Arabidopsis thaliana: one gene and its partners. The protein of the gene in region 4 interacts with the protein of the main gene of each other region in a pairwise test. Each region holds a gene or a part of one and is shown on either strand. Other genes may lie near its edges. The genes, in order: GAMMA-TIP, AT2G23200, AT1G36050 and PAP3.

Region 1 (5,319 bases), on a different chromosome or scaffold from region 4:
CCTGCGAATCTGTATCCCATATTGTTTTGTTTTGACATATTTAACGATAATGAATTTGTGAAATCACTTTTGCCCTAACGTGGTTAATTAGTGCCAATAAGATGCTTAGTTTGTATATATTTTCAATCTTCACAATAGCAGAAAGATAAAAGGAAACGCCAACAAGTTTGATCTAATTGCTTTTGATATTATTGCAGCTAGGTCGTTTCTCTTTATTTAAACATCAATATAACTGCTAGAGTGCTAGATAAAAATTGTTACAGTTTGATGCGGTTCAACTTTCACTTGAGATTGAATTCTAAATATTCTGCGTGTTACGGTGTATGTATGAAAAGTTTATGTTTAGTTCATGTGACCGACCTAGTCTAATTAATAAAGGAAGAACTAGATTTGTGGCTTGTGAGAGAGCCATATGATTGATAAGGACCATAATGGTTTGGTACGAGTTATGAGTGTACTCTTATTATACTATTCACTCACAAAAAGGTTGATGAGAAATTACACATTTATAGGGAAAAGGGAAAGAGAAACCTACAAAAACATTAGGTATAAGTTTCCAAAATGGCACATGGGTATTGAATATTATATCGAACATTCTAGATAATATCATATAATATATAATTTTGCCAAATTATACAACAATATACATATATTATAATGAGTCTAAAATGGCGTAAATAAATCTTCAGATTATCTCAAAATCTAATTATAGAAAATGGTGATCACATTTGAAAGATAGTTACTCTAATGTAACGAAGCATATTTACCTTCAAAGTTACAATGTTCTTGTATAGAAAACATAACTTATTCGGAAGATAATATGTCGGCAATTGCACCAGTGTACGATTCTGCTAGTGGCGTCGACCGAAGTTTCAAACTCTCCTTGATCAGTAGAAGAAAAGACAATGAAATTGTAAGGAATTGGTACAGACGTTTTCACGTGCTTCTGCCAATCCGTATCCATTTGGCCAAAGATTTTGAAATATCTCTAAAATGCCAAAACCAAACAGGAATTCTAATTTTTGTTATAAAACCCGAAAATGGTATCGGACAAACGAAGACATTAGGCAACGTCAAACTTAGCACCTCATCGAATCATGTCTTGATTTTGGTCGGACCTGTTTGACAAGTATGGTTGAGACTTGAGATCTCTATTGCAAAACAATCTTACTGCTTAAAATAAGTAAAAGGAAAACAGATTAATCTTTCTCATTGGATCTTATTTTTCTAAATTCACACCCTTTGCAAAATGCAAATACAAAGCAACATAAAAAAAAGAAAAGCCGTATTCACTATTGAGTATTGATTGACTAGTAACCCTCACTGACTGACCCCTACAATATCATTTTATTCCCTTATTGCAAAACGCCAACCATTCCAACTTTCAAATTTTTACATATACATATGGTGAATTTAATTTGTCTTCTTCTTTTTTTTTTTTTTTTTTTTTTTTGTTAAAGATATGGTGAATTTTGTTAGACGTAAATAGATCGAAACTTGTATCAAATTCTAGTTTTTTTAAAAAATATATATAATTATATATCATATTTTTTTATTACTCATAATTTGTTTACTCATTTCTTATAAATTCGGTCATAAATAAAGTTAATGTGTAATAAGACTGATGTGGAATTTAAAAGTTTGACAAAATGGCAAAAAGAGATATTGCAACACTTGAAAACTTAAGATGAGATTGATACATAATTCACATTATATAGTCGAAATTGCAATGGCCACTCTTGAAACCAACGGACAAGGATTCATCTAAAAGATCGAACGATCATAAACCCCTTGATGATTCGAAATTACACAAACGGAAATTAAAAAGACATTAAAATTCAAATTCAAAGTCGAATAAAATTACACAAGAGAGAAAAAGAGAGATTAATTCAGTAGTCTGTGGTTGGGAGCTGCTCGTGTGTGGTGTTGATGAAGAAAACTTCGTAGATGAGTCCAGCGATTCCACCGCCGACGAGAGGTCCGGCCCAGTAGACCCAGTGGTTGGTCCATGTCCAGCTCACCACCGCTGGTCCGAAAGCCACGGCGGGATTCATGGAGGCTCCAGAGAAAGCTCCTCCAGCTAAGATGTTGGCTCCAACAATGAAACCGATTGCGATGGGAGCAATTGTTCCAAGACTCCCGTTTTTGGGGTCAATGGCTGTAGCGTAGACGGTGTAAACAAGCCCGAATGTCATCACGATCTCGAAAACGAAAGCGTTCAACACTCCTACTCCAGCAGAGAGACCAAAAGCCGGCACAGCCTAAAATTTTCAAAAGGTTAATTAGTTACTTGACAAAGAAGTTAGGTCCAAAAAGAGATCTAATAAAGGGCTAAAGGGTAGTTTGACATACCAAGCCACCGGTGGCGAATTTAAGGATGAGGCAAGCGACGACGGAGCCGAGAAGCTGAGCAATCCAGTAGAGGATACCACGGAGGAGAGTGATGTTACCACCAATGAAAGCACCGAAAGTGACGGCAGGGTTAACGTGTCCACCAGAGATGTTGGCACCAACTGAGACAGCGACGAAGAGTCCAAAGGCATGAGCCACTGCAGCAGCTACGAGACCAGAAGGAGTGGTGGCTCCGTTTTCAGTGAGCTTGTTGAAAGCCATGCCAGAGCCTGAACCGGCGACGACAAAGATCAAAGTTGAAATGAACTCAGCCAACGCCGCCTTTAAGGCATCGGGACGGGTGGCTTCATCTGGACGGCCAATGGCGATGTTTCTGATCGGCATGATCGGACGGCTGAGATTTAAGCTTCAAGATGCTAGAAGAGTGGGAGATGGATTTGATGATTTTTTCTGGTCTACTATGTGCTCTTACTTATATCTGAGGTGGCGCCATTTTGGTGACCGGTTACCGGATGATATATTATTAATATTTGGTGGAGAAATTATTTGATTGGAGCGGTTAGAGATTTAAATAATTTTGAAAACAGGCTAAACAAGTACATCGCTATAATTCCAGCGAAGCGGAACCGACCAATCTACGTGGCGGATAATGACTTGTCATGTTTGTACATGTATAGAGCTTTTGTCCCTTTTTCATATTCTCTCTCTCGAATGATCGATAGTTCTAGAGGAAAATAATACGATTTTATTCTTGTTTTTCTCCAACTATTTTGCTAAGAGGTTTTTACTTGATTAGTGGTAGAATTTAGTCTTGATATATGTGTGGTAAAAATACTCAACTGAGTATACGGAGCAAGCTCCAAAACAAAAATTATAACTAAAGATGGTTACTAAAAATATTTCATATCTAATCTATAGTCATTTGTTTCTTCCTTACTTATAATCTGTCGTTGTTTTTTTGTTATAATGTCGTTGTTTTCTCTTGGGTCTTTATTCTCGAAACATAAATAATTCTGTGTAGATAAGTCACGGCTAGTTTTATGAATTTGATATTCGTATAGTGACATTACATGCTAACCATAAGTTATGATATTTTTTTATATTATCGCTAAGTAGAATTATGTAGCATAAATGATATTCAATGCCAAATCACTACGCTTTATTCTAATCGCAATTCTTTCAACTCGCTCTCCAAGTATACGAGAAAATTATAAGATGTTATCTTGTTTGTGGCACCAATTTTTCTGTGATTATATATTTATATTGTTTGTGGCACCAAATTTTAACATTCGAGACAATCTCACATTTTTTCACAATCATACAGAAAGATTATATATTTATTTTAGCATTTTATTTTGTGGGCCAATTATCTATTGGGCAAAAAGTATTGTGTGACGGCCCTCCACTTAAGGAAAAATAATAATTTATGAATGTCCTACCACCACGATGCAATCTGTCCCTTTTGGGCGGTTTAGGTTTACAATTCGGCTGAGAGGTACTGCCAGAAAGTGATTAATTTCCAAACAAAATTTAAAATGTCATATTATTTATTTAAAATAATAATAAATAAAAGACGTGATAATTTCGTTTTTCTTTTGTTTAATTTGATCTTTTTTTTTTTTAAATATAATACTACAAATTTTAACAGTGTGCTAATTTTTATTTATTTTACAAGCCTTGACAAAATAGTTGAACCATTTTGAAGTTTTTTGCACAGTTCGAAGTTCATACAACTGATCCAATTTTCTTTATATAAAAACAGAGCCCGCAGATTTATATAAATTGGAAGGGATTAAAACGATTGCTTTTTTTTTTTAACACATGAAACATGAGTCGTGTGTGTGTAGAGAAAATTATAATACGATACCAAACCAACTTTCCTATCAACACGGGACAAATTTGATATCTTTTTTCTATCATCTCTTTCAAACATACTGTGACCTGTGATTGATAAACATGTGAAACTTTTCCTTTGATGTAAGTCGTGTGATTTTAGAACTACCTAGATTGGGGTGGATTGTTAGGTGGATGATCCATTGTTTTTGCCTTTTTGGGTGGTTCACATAATGAACATTGATGGTGCACAACATCAACTGGCATGAATACTGCGTACAATCACGAACGTTCTAGTGACAATGTTCCAGTATTCTTTTACCAACCACATGTACGTACTTCTCAAAAACATAGCTAGTAGCCGAAGTATTTTCAAAACGCTAGCTAATCATCGGAATTCCTCATATATTTGGTGACACTTTATTGATTGGTGCATTTCCTTGTTGACTTTTTCTCCTTCTTATTTAAAACTTGATTGAGAACAATCATTTTTGGACCGTTTACCTTACCTTTGTATAACTAACTAAGATTTCAAAGCATTAACTATCTAAAAACGTTGAAAGAAACCAACCGTATACGTGGACATAATTAAGTCGTTCAGTTTTATGAACGTTACTAATCTGACGTTTTGAACCATGGTTTCTATTTAAATCGAACCATATCGTACACATATTTTTAGAAAATAATTCAAATTTTCATTACATAAAAAACTAAAAACATGAAACTGATCCATAAGGACCATATTAGTTTTGGTGCAATAAGCTATTAAGTTTTTTTCCTTATAAATAAAACTTAAAAATATGTATTGAACAAGTGAAAACGATTTTTAATATTTTTTTTTGTTTAATGATTAAAAAAGTAGTAAGCAAAAGTTAACTAAGACATCATCATCTTACCGAAACTATTTTTTTCGTTAATTATGAAAATGATTAGGTTTGGTGAGTTTGGGCATATTCTCTCTCTTTCTCAAGTTTGTGAATTGTGTGGGGTTGTGGTCGGTGTACTATTATATTCAAGTGCTCCAAATTAAATCATTGTTAATTTGTATTGTTAAACAAACAACAAAACTGAAATATTTGGACGATATGATGATAAATATGTTTTTTTTTACTATGAGAATATTGTGATTTTAGA
Region 2 (6,419 bases), on a different chromosome or scaffold from region 4:
CCGTATCGGCACCCTGGAGATCTTTTCGTCACACAAGCTCAACGGCTTTTTATCTGTCCGTAAAGATGAGATCCGACACTTGTTATTGCGCCTCTCAAAAAACTCGCAACATGTATGTGAGCTTCTTCTACATATCAAAACATTTTACTTAGCCAGAAAATATTATAACCTATTGATTTGTGATAGTGCCGTCACTGTTTCATTATATAGGTTTATACTTGGCCATGTGCATGTGCAAAATGTAGATTGTAGACGCCAAAAATATTCTATACCAAATGAAGATTGTGAAGTATGATTTTGAAAGTTTGAGGATTAATCATTTGTTTATGTGATTATAATTAAAATCAGGGTTTTGCAAAGGTTGAGATGAGACAATTGTTTTATGATTTGACTATCAACAACATTCTTCGAATGGTGGCTGGGAAACGATTTTATGGAGAGGGGACAGAACAAGATGAAGTTGCGCGGCGAGTGACACAACTGATTGACGAGATTGTGTACAGGGCTGGCGTTGGGAATGCAGCCGATTATATACCGATTTTGCGTTGGATCACAGATTTTGAGAAAGGGGTCAAGGAGTTGGCGAGTCGGGTCGATGAGTTTTTGCAGAGTCTGGTGGATGAGAGACGTGTGCATAAACAAAAGGGTAACACTATGATGGATCACTTGCTTTCTCTCCAAGAAACTCAGCCTGATTACTATACAGATGTCACTCTTAAAGGAATCATAATTGTAAGTTTGAGGAATTCATATACTATATGTAACAACACTAATCAAACTTTATGATAGCTTATTATTGATTTTAAGTTTACAGGTTATGATACTTGCCGGGACTGAAACATTAGCAGGGACTTTAGAATGGGCGATGCTTAATTTGTTGAACCATCCAGAAGTATTAGAGAAAGCGAGGACCGAAATCGATACCGAAGTCGGTTTTGACCGGTTAATGGATGAAGCTGATACTAAAAATCTGCCTTATCTCCAATGGATTGTGTTGGAGACCTTACGTCTTTACCCGGTAGCTCCAACAAATATTCCACACATGACGTCAGATGATTGCATATTGGCAGGATACGACGTTCCACGTGGGTCGATGTTATTGGTGAACGTATGGTCCATGCATAGAGACCCGTCTATATGGGAAGCCCCAGAAATGTTCAAGCCAGAGAGGTTCAAAAATGAAAAGCTTAATCAGAAGTTGTTGTCGTTTGGGTTTGGACGACGAGCTTGTCCCGGGGTTGGCCTAGCTCATCGGTTAATGAGCTTGGCTCTTGGATCGATGGTTCAGTGTTTCGAATGGCAGAGAATTGGTGAAGAATATGTAGACACTAGAGAAGAACCTATGGCCATGATGCGTCCTGCGACACCGTTGCTAGCCATGTGTAAAGCTCGTCCCATTGTCCATAAGTTTCTCGATGCTTTTGCTTGAAGTGTAACTCTTCTTTCCTTGACTTGGGAATAAAATATGTAGTAAAAAAACTTATCATGTCAAAAAATCTAATAGTATAGACTGACCGTTTACTAGGTCAGTGTTGGGGAGCCAAAGGTAAAAAGATTAGAGAGTGATTGTTTCTCACGGGACAAAAGACGATGACTTCAAAAGTCAACTCCAGTCTTCTTTCTTTTTGTTCCACCAATAATTTCAATTCTCTATTTCTCCTTCAATCTCATCTTCTTCCTCAATCCAGTCTTCACATAGACCACACATGTTTTTTCATCCATTGACCTCAAAGACTTGACTTTCTCTCTTTCTCCTTCTCTGCATCAAAGCTATGGAGAATTTCTGTTTTCAAGACTCTGTTTCTCTATTTATCACGATCATGGTTCTTGTTCTTCTCCCCCGTCTCAGTCTTTCTGATACTTCGACGTACACCCGTCCTGAGAATTTTTACGTCAACTGTGGATCGGATTCTAATGTATTTTATGGTGGCCAGACCTTCGTCGGAGATACCAACTCGAGTACTAACTCAGTTTCCTTCACCAACAAAGGAACTGAAGTCATCAACGACCAATCGTCCGTTGCGCCTGAAATATACCGGACGGTTAGGATATTTAGACACCCTTCTTCTTACAAGTTCAAACTTGATTCTCTGGGTCTGCACTTTGTGCGTCTCCATTTCTCTGTTGTGTTTTCTCGGGCAGATCTTTTAACTGCTCGGTTCACTGTCTCTGCTACCTCTGGTTCTAATCATCACTTGAAAAGTTTCTCGCCTCAGAATCTCACTAATACCCCACGAGTTGAAGAGTTTCTCCTGATGATGAACTCGCTGGAGTTCGAAATTCGATTTGTGCCCGATCATTCCTCTTTAGCTCTCATCAATGCCATCGAAGTGTTCTCTGCTCCTGATGACCTCGAAATCCCATCAGCTTCCGATAAGAATCTGCATACGATTTACAGATTAAACGTAGGAGGCGAGAAAATCACTCCGGATAATGATACCTTGGGACGAACTTGGCTGCCTGACGATGATGACTTTCTCTACCGAAAAGATTCAGCGAGGAACATTAATTCAACACAAACGCCTAACTACGTGGGAGGGTTAAGTTCAGCCACGGACTCCACTGCTCCTGATTTCGTCTACAAGACAGCTAAAGCAATGAACCGTAGCTCGAATGAGCAGGTGGGGATGTTGATGAATGTTACATGGTCGTTCAAGGTCAAAAGTAACCATAGACACTTCATCAGGATTCATTTTTCTGATATTTTGAGCAACTTATCAAACTCCGACTCCGATTTCTATCTCTTTGTAAATGGGTATTGGCGAGTAGATGTAAAGCCTTCAGAGCAGCCTAGGTTGGCGAGTCCGTTTTTTAAGGATGTCGTGAATGTCTCTGATGGTTCTGGACTCTTGAATATCAGTATAGGTACCAAGGAGGCCAATAAGGATGCTGGTTTTCTGAATGGTCTGGAGATGATGGAGGTTTTGAGTAAATCTGGTTCTGATTATTCAAATAGAAGCAGTTCCCGGGTTCACATCATCACTGGTTGTGCTGTTGCTGCTGCTGCTGCATCAGCTTTGGTCTTCAGTTTGCTGTTTATGGTATTCTTGAAGCGGAGGAGATCGAAGAAGACTAAGCCAGAGGTTGAGGGCACTGTATGGTCTCCTTTGCCATTGCACAGAGGTGGGAGTTCAGACAATAGACCTATCTCTCAATACCACAACTCCCCATTACGCAACCTACACTTAGGCTTAACGATTCCCTTCACAGACATTCTAAGCGCTACAAACAACTTCGACGAGCAGTTGTTGATCGGGAAAGGCGGGTTTGGCTACGTTTACAAAGCTATTCTTCCCGATGGAACCAAAGCCGCTATCAAACGAGGCAAAACCGGCTCAGGACAAGGGATCTTAGAGTTTCAAACCGAGATTCAAGTCCTCTCAAGAATCCGACATAGACACCTCGTCTCGCTAACGGGATACTGCGAAGAAAACTCCGAAATGATCCTCGTCTACGAGTTTATGGAGAAAGGTACACTCAAAGAACATCTATACGGCTCGAATCTACCTTCATTAACATGGAAACAAAGACTAGAGATATGCATTGGAGCAGCTAGAGGTTTAGATTATCTCCACAGTAGTGGCTCAGAAGGAGCAATCATTCACAGAGACGTCAAATCAACAAACATATTACTAGACGAGCACAATATAGCAAAAGTCGCAGATTTCGGATTATCGAAAATTCATAATCAAGATGAAAGCAATATCAGCATAAACATCAAAGGAACATTCGGTTACTTGGATCCAGAATATCTCCAAACACATAAATTAACAGAGAAATCAGATGTTTACGCATTCGGAGTCGTCCTCCTCGAGGTACTGTTCGCGAGACCAGCTATAGATCCTTATCTTCCTCACGAAGAAGTGAATCTATCGGAATGGGTGATGTTCTGCAAATCAAAAGGTACAATCGATGAGATCTTAGATCCGAGTTTGATAGGTCAAATTGAGACGAATTCGTTGAAGAAATTCATGGAAATTGCTGAGAAATGTTTGAAAGAGTATGGAGATGAGAGACCGAGTATGAGGGATGTGATTTGGGATCTTGAGTATGTTCTTCAGCTACAGATGATGACGAATCGTCGAGAGGCTCATGAAGAAGATAGTACGGCGATTAATTCCGGTGGTTCGTTGGTTGCTCCGAGGTTGATGGTGAGTGATTCGTTTAGTACGAACTCGATATTTCAGAATGGTGATGAATCGAAGAACAGATTTGGATTTACAGATTCATCGGAGACTCGAGTTTTTTCGCAGTTGAAGATCTCTGATGCAAGATGATGAAATCTTTCGCAATTGTGTGTAAAATTATAATTTTTTCGAAATGTGAAGTTTCTAGCAGTATCTGGTTCAATTTCAAAATTTAATATCCGGTTATTTCCGGTTAATAGATAATCACAGTCCGTCTATAGGGTATTTCGAAGGCTAAACACTATTTTGGTGTTAAAATTACATCATTTTTAACGATTTTGATGTCGTTGATGAACAAGTCCAAATTACGAGCGAGGGATCCACCAGGCGCCATCGCCGATCTCGTCGCTTGCTTCAACTCCGCCGCTCTCCTCCTCATATCCGCAGCGTCGGTACCCTTTGTCACGGCGTCAATGCATCTCTCCACCTCAGCAACCTTAAGCTCTCCATCGACGACATCGTTCTTCATCCGTACTCCGATTCCAAACACATCAACAAGCAATCTCGCGTCAAGCGGCTGATCAAACCAAGTCGGATACGCCACCATCGGAACACCACTCACCACCGTCTCGATCGTCGAGTTCCATCCACAATGAGTGACAAAACAAGAGATCGCCATATGGCATAGTATCTTCTCTTGTTGACCCCATTCAATAACAACTCCTTGACCTTCTTCAACCATATCTTCCAAAACGTCAACGTTTTCGGCCTTCTCCTTTGGCCGTATCACCCATAGAAATGGAACTCCTCTGTTTTTTAATGCTGTCGCTATGGTCTCGACTTGATTCTCTGATGATTTGAGTATGCTTCCGAAAGATATGTAAAAACTGAAGACCTAACTTGTTTGTCAAGCCACTCCATACAATAATCATCAGCTTTCCACATATCTAGGCTTTTCCCATCTAAGATTTTGTCCTCATCAGCTCCCAAAAGAAATGGAGAAACAAGAGGACCAATTGGGATAATAGGTTTTAAATCAAACATCGATTCAATTATAACCGATTCGAGTTCATAAAATGAATTAGCCAAAACCCATTTAACATCTTTCAAGCATTCGACGAATTCCGCCATTAGTGTATTGAAGATAGCACCGTGAGAAGGTAACATCAATGTCGGGAGATCTCGGACTTCTAAAAACGGTAAGCCTGGTAACTCCACTTTTTGATTAGGATCTTCGAGATCGGGGAAAGAGTTTGTCTTCATGTAGTAACGGTAATAAACTGAGAAACCTGCACAAGCTTCAATCCAGAGGATTGCACAAGGAATGTTATGAGCAGCTGCAACAGCTGGAACCCATGGAGTAAAAGGCACAGAGATGATGCAATCAAATCTCTTTCCTTCGATTATTTTCGAAAAGTTATTGGCTCCGACTTTTCTCAATGACTCTGTGAGAGGTTCGTGGTCTCTTGGATCGTCTTTAGGCAGACCATCAGAGAAGAACACAAGATCCACCAGGCTATGGGGTTCATCGGTGGATGAGAGGAGGTCACGGGCTGATTCAATGGTGGCGAGAGTGAAGTGTAGGTTGGTTCGTGCGAGATGTTTGGCGAATTTGAGCATTGGATTTAGGTGACCTTGGAACGGTAATGCTACCATTAGAACGTGTGTTTCTTGACCCTCAATACTTCCCATTTTTTTTGTATAGACTTTTAGTAGTAATAATTCTTTTTAATAGTAATTTAGAGGTATTAGACTTGAATTTCGTATAAAAATTATGAGTTTTAATCTTAGTGGTATATATAACAATTGTTCTTCAACAATATTAAGTGAGATTTTTGTAATATATCATTATGATTTGCTAACCCAATATATAATGGTCAACAGATTTAAAATTATGATTTTCTATATTCTTGTAAAATTGTTGTGGCAAGAAATCATGTTCTTACCAATTTCTAGCATAATTATGTCAACAGCCAGCTGCAAAGTTATCTTATTAACTAAAATTTTATATAATACAGAAGTGTGAACTTGTTTCAAATTAGTTAAAAAGAGTGTATATTGAGTACAATTTTCTAATGATATTTAATAAAAAAACATTGTGTTAAAATTTTAAGAGATTTTGTCATGTGATTATTATTATTCCTTATATATATATTATCCTTTATATATTAATTGAGAAACATTCTTAATAAAAACTTACTCTTATATGTTATTAATGAAAATGTCATGCTGACATGTTGTGTTCGTAGAGATTTGTAATCTATTTCATTCATTGTCTAACATTTACTAGAA
Region 3 (7,232 bases), 8.4 Mb from region 4:
TGATGTGTCGTACTCTGTTCCGGATGATGTGGGAGATGAGGATGTGGAGGAAGAGGACGATGATGATGAGTTAGATGACAACACTTAATTGCTTAGTCCTGGTCATTTTTTTTTTAGTTGGGCATTGTGTTAGGGGGAGTTTGTCACTGATTGTTTTTGTGTGTTTGTGAAAACTCCCTGATCTTGTTCTTTATCGGCTTCTTATCGGATCTTCTGTGTGTTTAATGATTAGTCTTATGTATAGAACCAAGAACTCATTTCTGTTTCATGTTTAAATGGTTATGTCTTTTGGCAGTAGTTGCTTAAACTTGAGCCTTTGGTTTCTATGTTTGGTATGGAATATTGCTTGGCTTGTATTGTGGTCTCTACTCTTTTGCAGATTACTTGAGGTGTCACACTCAAATAAAAAGGGGGAGATTGAAGAAACAGAGTGTCTGAAGTTCTACAGGCGTGTCTGAAACAACACAGAGCAGAACAGAGGAACAGAGGAAGCGGGAAAGTAGCAGTTGCTTTTGCCAGCGTGGCATGTTGATTGGAGTGAAGGAAAGGCGTATCGCTTTAGACAAAGGAGACGAAGTCGTCAGACATAGGACGTGTGCCTAGTGTCAAGATAATGATGAGGAGCTACACTTGAACCTGATGGATAAAGTAGAGCATCCTGCCTTTTCCGAGAAACTACATAAGAGAAGTTTTGGTCTCTTATTAGGGTTAGCCACTTTACTTGAGAAAAGTGGAAGAGAAGAAAAGTTAAATAGAACTTGTTCTTGTGGTTTCATTGGTGAGTGAACAAAGAGAGCACACGGCTGTTGCTGTGTTTGTGAGCTGGGTAGTTTTAGGTTTTGACAAGAGCAAATCAGGTTGTTGATGTTGCATAACACTGTCCAAACTTATCTGTGATTGATCAGTTTGAAAGTTGTTCTAATAAAGTGTGTTTATTGGAGTTGTGATCTTTATCTTGTCAAAGTACTTAGGATTCTTTTACTTCATATGTTAGATATAATATTTTGCTTAATTGAATATATTTTACAATGTTCATAAGCTATAAGATCATTATATGATGCATACGTTTTATCCAACCATATCTTCACGTAACCAACTTCTTCTCAATTACCTTAACTGTTCACATGTTTATATATCTAAGCCCATATTTTTAGGTGTTATACATATATATATTTATTTACTTTTTGAGGATTCTGGAAAATTGAAAGATATGATACAACAGTTATACGATATATATATTGAATTTAAAACTTTAATAATTATAATTTTAATAATTTGAATAGACACTGTAAATATAGTTTTAGTCGGACAAACCTTACTCAACATTCAATACTAATCATATACCAAAACATAATTGTTTTATCTAATTTAGAGAAAAGAAACATGAAGCTATTTATTATCATTGTGGTGACCAGTTTAACCATCTCAAAGGTATTTGACAAAACACTTGTCACCATTGAAGCAAGAAATTTGAGGAAGATGGACCGTCATGAGCATTTCAATGCTAATGAAGATTTCGTGGAAGCAAAAATGTTAAAGAAAATTGACAATAAAAATAATCTAAATAATAGATGTATAAATGATTTTGCGCCTACTAATCCAGGACATAATTCTGGTATTGGGCATCCAAAAGTTATAAACAACAAATTTACAAAAGATTTTGCGCCTACTAATCCAGGACATAGTCCTGGTATTGGGCATCTAAGAGTTGTAAACAACAAATTTACAAATGATTTTGCGCCTACTAATCCAGGAAATAGTCCCGGTATTAGGCATCCATGAGTTATGAATGTTTAAGGATTGTAAATCTTATTATATAAATCTTAAAGAAATAAAATAAAACTAACAAAAAAACAAATTTATATGTCTATATCTCAAATGTTTTTAACTTTTTTTTCTGAACTAAAAGAAAAATTAACAAATTTGTTTTTATATGTGTTATTGGTCAAATAAATTAGGATGTATTTATATTTATTTGAAGAAAAAATTAGCATGTATTAATTTTTTTAAAGTCATTTAATTTATGTGTACAAAATATTATTTTACGGTTTTGGTGGGAAAACGTTGGCTTACAGTTGTTGCGGGAAAACGTGATTTTTAATTTTGGCGGAAAATACTTTTTGTGTGATTTTGGCAAGAAAACACTTTTTGTGATTTTAGCGGGAAAACGTGGTTTTACGGTTTTGTCGAGAAAATGTTGGTTTACGGTTGTGGCGGAAAAACGTAATTTTAATATTTAAACCAAAAACTGAAGTTAAATAGAATAATTTAGTTTTACTAAGGATGACTAATAGAAAAAGAAAAATAAATAGACTTAATTGGATACCAATTTATTTATGTGAAACCTTATTTAATAAATGAGTTTAGTTGGCTTAATCCATTTAATCTCATTTAACTTGTTTTTCCTAAATTAATTTAAATGGGTCAAAAACTCTTACTCATAACCATTAATTAAATAGGATTTGCATACCCAAATTAACATCACTAGTCCTAGACAAAAACCAAAATAGAAAACAATATTTTTATCCATTTTTACTTTTGCTCATCGACCAAATTTGGGCCTAGTTTGCTACAAGCTAACAATTGAAAAGCCTCTTAAGACACATGAAATAGTAACGACGTCGTTTACTCATGAAGCGAAAGACGGCAAACACGAACGGGTTTACGTAGACCGTCAAACGCTCCTCCGTCCGACGGAGAAAAAACGAGACGGTGAAGAAGAAGAAGAAGAAGAAGAAGAAGAACGACTCAAAGATCTCATCGATCACTCTCTCCAAGATCTATTCACGCATCGTCGGAAGAATTTTCGCTTCCGACGACGTTTCTCTCGTCTGATTTTGTCTCCGAACATCCTACCTAATCGTATTCGGTGCTGGATTTGAATCCGGTGAACTGAATCTGACAATTTCGTTCCCGGAGGTGTTTAAAAATGGCCGGGATCTTGAATAAATTGCGGAATCTAGATGCATATCCTAAGATCAATGAAGATTTTTACAGCCGTACATTATCCGGCGGAGTTATCACTCTCCTCTCCTCCGTTGTTATGTTCCTTCTCTTCTTCTCCGAGCTCCGTACGTATTAACAACTTCGCTTCCAATTTTGTGAATCTCCATATCCAGTTTCGTAATTTTGAAATTCTTTGATTCTGTTGTTTAGGTCTTTATCTTCATACAGTCACCGAGACGAAGCTTATAGTAGATACTTCAAGGGGAGAGACGTTACGCATCAACGTAATGTTACTTAATAGTGATTTTGACTTGGTTTGTGCTTATATTTGATTAGAGATGTCTGATAAGTTTCATTGATGATGCAGTTTGATATTACGTTTCCTGCTCTAGCATGTTCGATTCTTAGTGTTGATGCTATGGATATTAGTGGAGAGCTTCATCTTGACGTGGTATGTTTGTAAAATTGGTTACTGTTATAGCTTAGTGAATCTTAGTTTTTGTGTTTGAGACGTTGATTAAGTTTGTTAAATGTGTGAGTTACAGAAACATGATATCATAAAGAGAAGATTAGATTCTAATGGCAACACTATAGAGGCAAGACAGGACGGAATAGGCGCTACTAAGGTTTGCTCTCTGCCATTCTATTCTTTGGGGTTTTGTAGTCATTAGGCTAGGATTAAACTGCAGGCAAATGGCAAATGGCAAATGGAATAGTAGTGTCAAGAATTAAAAGTCGTTTGTTTTTGGGGTCTTTAAAGTCTTATACTTTTTTTTTTGTGCTTGTGTAGATTGAAAACCCACTGCAGAAACATGGTGGCAGGCTGGGACATAATGAGACTTACTGTGGTTCTTGCTATGGGGCTGAAGCGGTAATTGTGTTATCTCTCTATTTGACTTTGTGGAGCATGGTTTCTCAAGTTCATATTCAGATTACTCTTGATTGTTTAGTGCTAGTCAAGAGGTCATAATGGAATAAACAAAAACAGATGTCATAGTGGATTGTTTCTGTACTATATATAGTTATCATTTTCAGGATAGTTGATAGTGCTTTTTCAATCTGGCTTTCATTTATTTATAAGCTTTCATCTGAAGTATGTTTTTTCCCCGTGCAGGAAGAGCATGACTGCTGCAATTCGTGTGAGGATGTTCGTGAAGCATATAGAAAGAAAGGTTGGGGGGTTACTAATCCAGATTTGATTGACCAGGTAAATTGCTAAGAAAAGGTTCTTCGCCTTTTAAATTCCTGGCATCACTGTTTCAATGCGATAGTAGCAAGTTTTGTTTCATTTCTTTCTTCTTGTTTCTTTTTCTTATTCTTTGTTAGAGTCTCCAAGGCTTGTGTGCGTTTTGTTTAGTTAGTATGCACTTGGGAGGCTCTTAACTGAACTATGCTTCAAAGAGTTTCCATCTTCCAACTGCGAGCTGAAATACTTTTCACTTATCTGTTTGTGATTCAGTGTAAACGAGAAGGTTTTCTACAAAGAGTAAAGGATGAAGAAGGTGAAGGGTGTAATATATATGGGTTCTTGGAGGTCAATAAGGTGGCTGGGAACTTCCACTTTGCTCCTGGGAAAAGCTTTCATCAGTCGGGCGTGCATGTTCACGATCTTCTTGCTTTTCAGAAAGACAGTTTTAACGTAAGAAATGACTTGTCCTATTGACTGCAACTCATTCGTTATGCTTCTAATCTTATATCAATTCAATATGTTGCGTCTCCCTGCAGATAAGTCACAAGATCAATAGACTTACTTATGGAGACTACTTTCCTGGCGTCGTTAACCCTCTTGACAAGTAAATAACCATTCTGGTCTATTCCATTCACACACTATTTATTTTTTCATACTCTCTAACGTACTTGAAATTGCAGAGTCGAGTGGAGTCAAGACACACCTAATGCTATGTACCAATACTTTATCAAGGTTTGTTCCAAGACAAACACTGTATCATATACTTCAAATTCGTCTATAAAATACCCGCGATGACTCTATTCTGCTTTGTCTGCTTTCAATAGGTTGTACCAACAGTATACACAGATATCAGAGGACACACAATTCAATCGAATCAGGTGAACCAAGGCTTTTAACTGTTCGACCTCATTATCTATTCATTCTCTTCCGCGTACTATCTTAACTTAAATGTAAAATTGGCAGTTCTCAGTGACCGAACATGTAAAGAGCTCAGAAGCAGGTCAACTGCAATCTTTACCTGGAGTTTTCTTCTTCTATGATCTCTCTCCAATCAAGGTGAGTGTATTTGTGTGTTTTAACTGCAGTTTTAGAGCGTATTTATAGTCATAATCCTAACTAAAATGTGTCGTTTCCGTAGGTAACATTTACGGAGGAACACATATCATTCTTGCACTTCTTGACGAATGTTTGCGCCATAGTTGGAGGTATCTCTCTAATCTCTATATACCATAACAACACTTGTTGGTTAACGCACATTAAAATCCGAAATGAAACATGTAAAAATGCGCAGGTGTCTTCACAGTGTCCGGGATAATAGACGCGTTTATATACCATGGTCAAAAAGCTATCAAGAAGAAGATGGAAATTGGTAAATTTAGCTAAATCCTTTAAGCCTTTTTGGGGTTTTCGTCTCTCTCTTTTTGTTTTGCGGATAATACGATTCATGCTCCAAATGTAATATGGTGTCATTTATTTAATTCTTTTTGTTAAGCTGACTATATAAAATATACATATTGATACGTTACACTCTTTTAATGCAAATTGAAGGATAAGTCTTGGGTTGTGTCAATCCAGCTGTTGACAGCCTCATGCGTGCGTTACAATTATCGTCTTTTGACTTTTTGTCTTTTGAAGATATTATGGGTTTTGAATCTGAAGTTAAGTCTTGAGTCTATCTTTGATTGTAGTGTATGGATTCAATGAATGGAAGAAAAAGAAGCAAAACAGTCTCCATAATAAACGCTTAGAGTACAGAGAATCATTATTAGTATTGACGAGAAAGTTGTTATTAGTGAATATATTAATTCCGATTGCAATATATGTTAGGTCTCGGTTAATACTCGGATTCGAAGAACTGAACCAGAACCTATCCGAAATATCGGTTTGGGTCTGTTTTGGATCCTCTAGAACATTTGATTGGGTCTTGTCTTCATATATTTTCGGTATTGGTTCAAAAAGGATAATACCTGATAAATTAACGGGAACTCGAATATATTTGAAGCCTAACTAAACTCATGATCTCCTTTAACCTATATTGCCTGGTTTGATTGGGAACATCGGGTTTTTCTTTTCGAGTAGTTTGGATAAATTTGAGTATAAAGTAACCAACTTGAACTGTATCCGATAATTTTCAATTCACCCATATCAACTATCCGAACTGATATGAACCCGAAGGTTACCAAACCAATCCCGAACAAAATTTTAAAATACCCAAATAGTACCTCGATTCCTAGTACGAAACCAAAATCCAAATACTCGAGTCGAACCCAAACCGGTACCCGAATGTGCAAGCCTAATATATGTGCATTCTCTCATTCCTTTGGCTTGGCAATTGGTTTCTATATTTGCATGGACACTTTTATCATCCAAGTCTTCCTTTCTCATTTGACAACGTTTGCTCGTAAAAAAAACTCACTTTGGTTACCATTGTTAAACACAAAAAAAGAAATCTAATCTTTTGTGTTAACTTAAAGACTTGATAATTGTTTTACTTTTTTTTTTACTTATTATCTATCACTCGGTCTATTCTAAAGAGAAAGCATGAGAATGTCGTCAACGTAGGCACTTTGTATGAGGTTATCTTTATACCACGTAAAGTTCAATCAAGGATCCTTTTCTTCCACTCTTGTGTTTCTCTTTTGACTTCTTCAAAATAGGACCAAAATTTATAATATTAAGCTAGAAATTTAGCAATTTAAATTTTAAGTTTTCACTATATTGTTCCCTTTTAGACTAATTTACTTTTTAATCATTTCTAAGCTAAGCACAATGGTCCTGTCGCAGAATGGAACTTCACGATTCTAATGTGTTACAATATATTCATAGTAGTAATACTAACCATATTCATTTCAATTAAGAGAAAAGAAGAAGGGTCTACATGGTACGGCATGAACAAAAAAGCTTGAGCTGTCCATAATTTACACACTTGCATTACATTCATACAAAATGCTAAATTACAAATTTTACGCACAGCTAATAACCCTAAAGTTTAAAAGAAAATACAAACAAGTTAAAATGAATAAAAATGAATTGAATCCTAATTTTTCACGATAAAATTGAAGCCCAATCTATCTCATAAGAAGGACACTTGCCGAGC
Region 4 (6,267 bases):
AGAAGGAAAATTAGATTTGAAGGCGAAAGAAGAAGCTCGTAACGGATTTGGTGAAGGGGAATGCGATGGCAGTAACGGTAAACAGAGCAATTAGTAGCTGAAGAAGAGAAGATAGAGCAAAGAGAGAGAATAGTTTTTGGGAGATGAAATCTGAGGTGCAGTTTACAAACTGTTAAAAGAGCGGTGAATTCGATGAAATGTCGTTTTGTTTTTGCCACTTGAGAAATTATTTTTAGGAGAGTCAAAACAAGGAAAAGTTACCCGTTTTCTACTCTCTTCTCTAAAATCATTCATCTATATCCTTTCCTTTCTATTCAAATTCTATCTCTGCCTCGTTTCGACTGAATCATAATATCTTCTTACACATGCATATATATATATACCTTTGTTTTTCTCCAAAGTGTCTCAAGATTCTCAAGAAAGTTACTTTTTTTTTTTCTTCTTGGAATATTTTTTGGGATTCGAAAGCTAAGATATGAAGCCTTTATCTCTGTTGTGTGATACAAGTTCAGCTGTGTGTTCGGTCCCATGGTTCATGGCAGTGGCCCATGTCTTCATTCCTTTGTCCACTCTATTAAGTCTCACCAAAAGTAAAATAAGATAAGCCTTAATAGAATGACTATTATATTTCTTTTGGGAGATAATTTTGGTATGAGCAAAAGTGTTCTTGCGATCAAATATGAGAGATCCGGGGCTTGTGAAATTATGTGACAGAATCTCATCCACAACATAGAGTTGTATATCATTTATCTTATCATATAATCCATAATTCACTATAACTTATCTATATATATTACATGATTGAAGAGAATCTGAGCACAGGACAAAAGACATGTAACAAAATCATTATCTATCTTTATAGATGAGAATCGGACCCATTTTGTGTCCCTACAAACTACACAAGAGTACTGTATGCACGCATGCTTCGGGAAAACTTGTTAATCAAATTGGATAAGAATAACGAAAATTAATTAACTTAATTAATATGGAAGCGTAAGAGAGGATGATATTTACATTTTAATATGCTTAGATTCGATATGTATATACAGTATATGCATGCAGTATTTCTAGTTAATCTCACATCTTACAAATTTTCAATAATATCTTGTTTGAAACTGTACTTTTACGCAATAAAGATTTCATTGACTTTTTTTTCTGATGCTGCTGATATGTTCTTGTCATATCATAATGTGATTCGAAAATTCGACGAAGTACGATATTGATAATTTCATAGTACATCGATCATAAACAATTACGTCCGATTAAATTGGAATCAAGAAGCGAAATAAAGCGCCTCCTTGTAAGTCTTCTTCCAATGATGCAGAACGTGTCCAAAAACATCATAAAAGACTACACGCAGTTCAGCTTCTGAAACGTGAACCGACATGAAACCTTGTCCGTCGTAGTAAAACCTCATCTCTTCTGGTTCAACGTAGTTCACGTCACCTCCTTTCCAGGCCTTGGATCCACCTCCACTTGTCATAAATTGTATGTTACTATATGCAACCAAAAATGGTGACATTTTATATCCTCCCGTACGTGGACCCTTACGTTACAATAATTGATTAATAAGAAAATAATTAACGAACAAATAAATAAATTTATTCTACCTGTCCACGCTGCTTATGTGCTCTAAGCAATGATCATGTCCGTTTACGTAGAGATCCACTTCATTTGCCTAGTAAATCGAGAACAAAAAAAACAGATTTAATTAGATAGATTTTTTCTATTGGTGCATAAACTTTATTATATGAATGGAATGGTTTTGTTACTTGGAGAATAGGTAAAAGGTGTTTCTCCAACTCAATGGTGTTCCCGTGGTGGCCTGCGCTTTTGATCGTATGGTGACCAATCACTATTTTCCACTTTGCGACTGACTCTCTCAACGCCACGTCGAGTTCCTATATTATTACATTATAGCTTTCGTTAGTCACTCGCTCGTAAAAAGAAAAAAAGTTGCATTGGCAGATTGTTCTCTAATCATATCGCATTACATACCTAATTAAAACGCGATTCCATTTGAAAATAGACAAAATAAAAGCTGCGTTTAACATCCAATCATAACTTTATAAAAAAATCCAATCATAACAAAAGAAAAAGGAATGTTTTGCCCAAAACACGTATATAATGACGTTCCTAAGTTAATATTAATTCTATTTCGACGAAAAAAGAAAGAAAGGAAGATTTACTTAAAAAATTGTTACCTTTAAGAGATTATTCAGATATGTTTGCCTAGGTAATACACCGCTCCAGTCATAAACATGCTTATTTGGTTGAATAAAGTATTTATCGACGAACGGAGTTGTGTCGACGAAGAACAAATCGACGATCTCTGTTCAGTTAACGAAATTAACAAAAATAAAAAAATAATTGGAGGATTAATAAAATATTTCTAACTTTTGAAGAAATATTATATAGGAGGAATTACCAGCATTTACAATGAAAGATCTCATGCAAACCCATCTGTTGTCCAGAGCTCTGAGCATAGGGCTAAGTTGTGCCCTGACGTCACCTCTATAATCATGATTTCCTAAAACTTTAGGTTAAAGAAAATGTAATTAACACATTGAACCACATATCGTTTAATAATTAAGATCCAACGACGAATGTACACATTGAACCACACATTTACCACTATACCAAGGTTTCTGCAAGCTCGGAGCGGTATAAATGTTGGTAAAAGAATCTTGAAATAGAGGATCGTGCAAGCTGGTTAAACCATTGTCGTAAAAATTATCTCCAGTAGAAATCACAAAATCGATATCTAATTTCTCTCCGATTTCTCCCATCTGTTTAAATTTCGTGTGAAATAATTTAGCATAAAATAACTAAAAACAACAGTATAAAAGAAAACATCAAACTAGCATAAAATTTACCACATTGAGTTCATCTGCAAAACAACAGTACAAACAAAAATCATATGTAGAATATCTTCGTACACTAAAGCTGTTTTCTTAACACAGACCGAATCTTTCAAGTTCCTCTAACATGACTTTCTTTCTTTTTATGGTATCTTATAACATGGTGTTCAAGAATTAGTAATATATATTGAAATTGAATAATAATAATAAAAAAAAGAAAAAAAAAGAATAATATAAAAACATAAGGGCCGGCATTAATATGAAGACCAGTAAATTTGATCCTCATATCACGTATGCTCTTGAAGGCATACGCATATATATGTTTACGTAATACGTATTAATTATACACTATTGAATTTGCATTATATATTTATATATATGCGTACAGGCGAGAAATATAGTAAATAACTTGTAAATGAAAATAAGAAGTAACCTGAAGAGCTACTTGGGACTGATTATAGGAGCCTCTTCTTCCCCAGTCTCCGATAACGAGAAAGCTCACTGTACCATCGGTTTTTGATGGCTGCAGTAGCCTGCGGAGCTCCGCCGTGGAACTATGGGAGGAGAATATAATAATCAAATTATAAACGTAAAATACCAAATTTACAGGTTTGTGTTTTAAGGTAGCCATTGAGAGATTAGAAAAGCAAAAGAGGAAGAAGATAAGGAAAGGAATGGTTGATTTTGTTGTGATCTTTGTGTCTCTATATATGTAGGTCATTTCGAGGTTGATAAATATGAATAAAAATTATTTGCCATTTTGAGAAATGTAGTCCATTTTTGTTTTCTATTTCAATCTTTTGATTTGTCAATTTTATTACAATAATTTGAATCGGTAATTTTTTTGTCACCCACTTTTTCAGATATTTATCAATAACGAAATATAATGACAAGATAAATTTAAATAAAATAAATAGCGGTTGAAAATTAGCTGTTGAAATATTTTAAACATAAAGAAATTGGATATTGACAGTTTAAGGATATTTGAAAATTTCTATTATCAGTGAAAATATACGTAAATTTCTACTACATTTTTATTTCTAACATTATACATAAACATATTATCTAAATTTGGATTATGACACATCAAACAACAGTATGCATACAAACTATTATTACACCGTGAATTCTGATCACACAAATTCTTTCTAAAATCGCATTTTAAAAACAAAATATACTTGAAAAAAATAGAAATAAAATTTACGAAGCTCGGGTATGTGCGTTGTCATACAAGAAGAGTAGAAGACAGCATAAACGCCCATGCCACAAATTTGTCGGAAATTGCAATTATTAGCTTTGAGTCACATTATTGATGTGAGTCTAACGAAAACTTCCAAATTCTCTCAATTATTGTTGACCGTTAGTTATTTTACAGTATAGTTCTGAACATAAAATAATGTGAATAGTTTACTAAATTCGTTCAACATATTAAAGAAAAATCAAAATCCCATTTATACAAAAATTTGAAAGTATATCCTTACTGGATATGAGAAAATAAATGCAAATGGGTTGGCCTATGTTATTGGGCCGATACCCATTTCTCTAATGAAAAGAAAGATCTATAAAAACAAACTTCTGCTTCTCGACTAGGACATTAATTCTGAGGTATGACTATGAAGGTATCATATTATTTTGTAATTCTTGGCCAAAACTTGTCACCTGTGTGTTTGTATGTTCTTACAAAAGAGAAAACTAATGAGCATTAACTTCTGCAACGTTTATTTTACATGTTTGGTCTTATTGCTGATTCAGTCTAGTTCGTCGAGTATTTTGAAAACAACTTGAGGAGTTAATCAAAAGAAACAAGCTTAATGTGGTATATATGTTCCTTACGACTATAGTTCCTATTAGTATGATGTAGTCAGCAAGATTGACTTATGATGACTATAGAAACTTCACTGAATATCTCTGGTGGTCCTAGACAGTCACAGTGTCCTACTGTATCTTTAGTTTGGTTCGCCAAGTCTAGTATCGGACCGTATAGATAGAGAGATGTCAATTGTGTTTATGTGTTTTTTTTTTCTCTCTGAAGCAAATTGATTGATCGATTTGTCAGCAATTCCTTTCGAGTCAAAAGTTTTGACCAACCAGCTTCTTCGTGAAACTCTCTAGCTGTATTCACACATACACACACACACCTAACAAAATTATTGAAACAGTGGGTTTGATGTAAAGCCTAAATCATTCAACCACCTCTCTCTATTTCTTTTTTGTTCTTTTTTTCTATGCAACATATGATTATATATTAGATCCATGTGATATTGCTTGAGTCTTTAATTTAAGGCTTTATAAATAGAACAAATATAGGCCTTTTTAGGTCAACACGTGTGTGTGGAAATGATGCTAATGCTTCCAAAATGAAACAGAATAATGTCGTCATGAGCTACTCATTTACAAGAGGATTGTTTTAGTGTTGGATTGGCTAATAGACTTGGATCGATATCTATAATATAGACCATATATATAATATGTTTAGCCTAAACAATGATATATATGTCATGTGACACTTATGTGTTTTAGCAATCACTAAAATAATGCAAACATTAATACATGTAGGTGAGTTGTGAGTTCAAATAATATTAGTCAATACTCAATAGTCACTGTAATTGATATTTTGAATGGCTTATCCTATGAAAATTTAGTACTTTCATAGAGAGAAAAAAAAAACAAATGTTAATCTAAAGACGACAATTTAGATTTTAGCAGTCGCACCAGAACTAGTACCAGGAAACATAAGATAATATATACAGGACTAGCTACTTCATTATCTTTACGTAGTTTATGACAAAGATTGTTGTATAATCTTCATCAGCTGACTTCTTTATTTATGAATGAAGTGGTTAGAACTCAACTTGTCGGCTAATAATTCAAGCAACCCAACACAATGTTTGGGATTATCCTGTTTCTGTCTTCTTCTAAACTTTCTAAAGTAAGGCTGCTTGTTCTGTCAGTACGTGTGAGATATTAACATAGTTATAAGACAAACATAAATATCAGAAATTCAATATATAATGTCATAATAATTGCTTATTTGATTAGTAGTTGTGTCTCTCGCTCTGGTGGCTTCTTGCTTTCCTCCCTGTCGGATTGCTAGTGGTTTGACTTCGATGTGAGTTCTTTCCGATCTTATTGGTGTTTCCGACGTTTTCCGTTTCTTTGGGGAAGCTTTGTGAGGGTTCCTGGTTCTTTTGCGCAATTTTAGTGCTTAGATCTTCGTTTTCCCTTAACGGTTGATCTTTTTTAGATATTTGTCTTTTGTTTTCTTCGTTGGTCTAAATAGTTTCTCCGTTCCGTTGAGGCTTAGTTTTCCTCTTTTGGGCTTAGTTTTTGGAGACATTTAGTTGGTCTGCCGGCGTTTGTATTTCAAATGGTATTCTACCTTGGGTTTTTAATAAAATTCAGACAA

What was found.
Region 1: the proteins of PAP3 (region 4) and GAMMA-TIP interact in a protein complementation assay, tested with the Arabidopsis thaliana proteins (one large-scale study listed by BioGRID).
Region 2: the proteins of PAP3 (region 4) and AT2G23200 interact in a protein complementation assay, tested with the Arabidopsis thaliana proteins (one large-scale study listed by BioGRID).
Region 3: the proteins of PAP3 (region 4) and AT1G36050 interact in a protein complementation assay, tested with the Arabidopsis thaliana proteins (one large-scale study listed by BioGRID).

What each region holds. Positions count from the first base shown.
Region 1 is NC_003071.7:15,442,907-15,448,225, reverse strand, and holds GAMMA-TIP (gamma tonoplast intrinsic protein), read right to left. Parts: upstream 2,933-5,319; 5' UTR 2,737-2,932; coding exon 2,353-2,736; intron 2,262-2,352; coding exon 1,890-2,261; 3' UTR 1,605-1,889; downstream 1-1,604. UniProt on the Arabidopsis thaliana protein: Water channel required to facilitate the transport of water, diffusion of amino acids and/or peptides from the vacuolar compartment to the cytoplasm. Does not promote glycerol permeability. May play a role in the control of cell turgor and cell expansion.
Region 2 is NC_003071.7:9,877,579-9,883,997, forward strand, and holds AT2G23200 (Protein kinase superfamily protein), read left to right. Parts: upstream 1-1,696; 5' UTR 1,697-1,772; coding exon 1,773-4,277; 3' UTR 4,278-4,346; downstream 4,347-6,419. Other genes in the region: CYP81D7 (cytochrome P450, family 81, subfamily D, polypeptide 7), read left to right, coding at 1-112, 349-732, 815-1,429; AT2G23210 (UDP-Glycosyltransferase superfamily protein), read right to left, coding at 4,956-5,819.
Region 3 is NC_003070.9:13,447,538-13,454,769, forward strand, and holds AT1G36050 (Endoplasmic reticulum vesicle transporter protein), read left to right. Parts: upstream 1-2,666; 5' UTR 2,667-2,929; coding exon 2,930-3,071; intron 3,072-3,156; coding exon 3,157-3,230; intron 3,231-3,313; coding exon 3,314-3,397; intron 3,398-3,491; coding exon 3,492-3,572; intron 3,573-3,736; coding exon 3,737-3,817; intron 3,818-4,060; coding exon 4,061-4,153; intron 4,154-4,405; coding exon 4,406-4,585; intron 4,586-4,671; coding exon 4,672-4,739; intron 4,740-4,815; coding exon 4,816-4,867; intron 4,868-4,959; coding exon 4,960-5,013; intron 5,014-5,098; coding exon 5,099-5,191; intron 5,192-5,273; coding exon 5,274-5,340; intron 5,341-5,426; coding exon 5,427-5,504; coding exon of another isoform or gene 5,505-5,518; exon of another isoform or gene 5,519-5,823; coding exon 5,824-6,146; downstream 6,147-7,232. Other genes in the region: AT1G36060 (Integrase-type DNA-binding superfamily protein), read right to left, coding at 7,181-7,232.
Region 4 is NC_003070.9:5,055,995-5,062,261, reverse strand, and holds PAP3 (purple acid phosphatase 3), read right to left. Parts: upstream 3,680-6,267; 5' UTR 3,583-3,679; coding exon 3,295-3,582; exon of another isoform or gene 2,877-3,294; intron 2,790-2,876; coding exon 2,633-2,789; intron 2,537-2,632; coding exon 2,429-2,536; intron 2,333-2,428; coding exon 2,205-2,332; intron 1,902-2,204; coding exon 1,773-1,901; intron 1,679-1,772; coding exon 1,611-1,678; coding exon of another isoform or gene 1,607-1,610; exon of another isoform or gene 1,497-1,606; coding exon 1,274-1,496; 3' UTR 1,122-1,273; downstream 1-1,121. Other genes in the region: AT1G14710 (hydroxyproline-rich glycoprotein family protein), read left to right, coding at 1-94.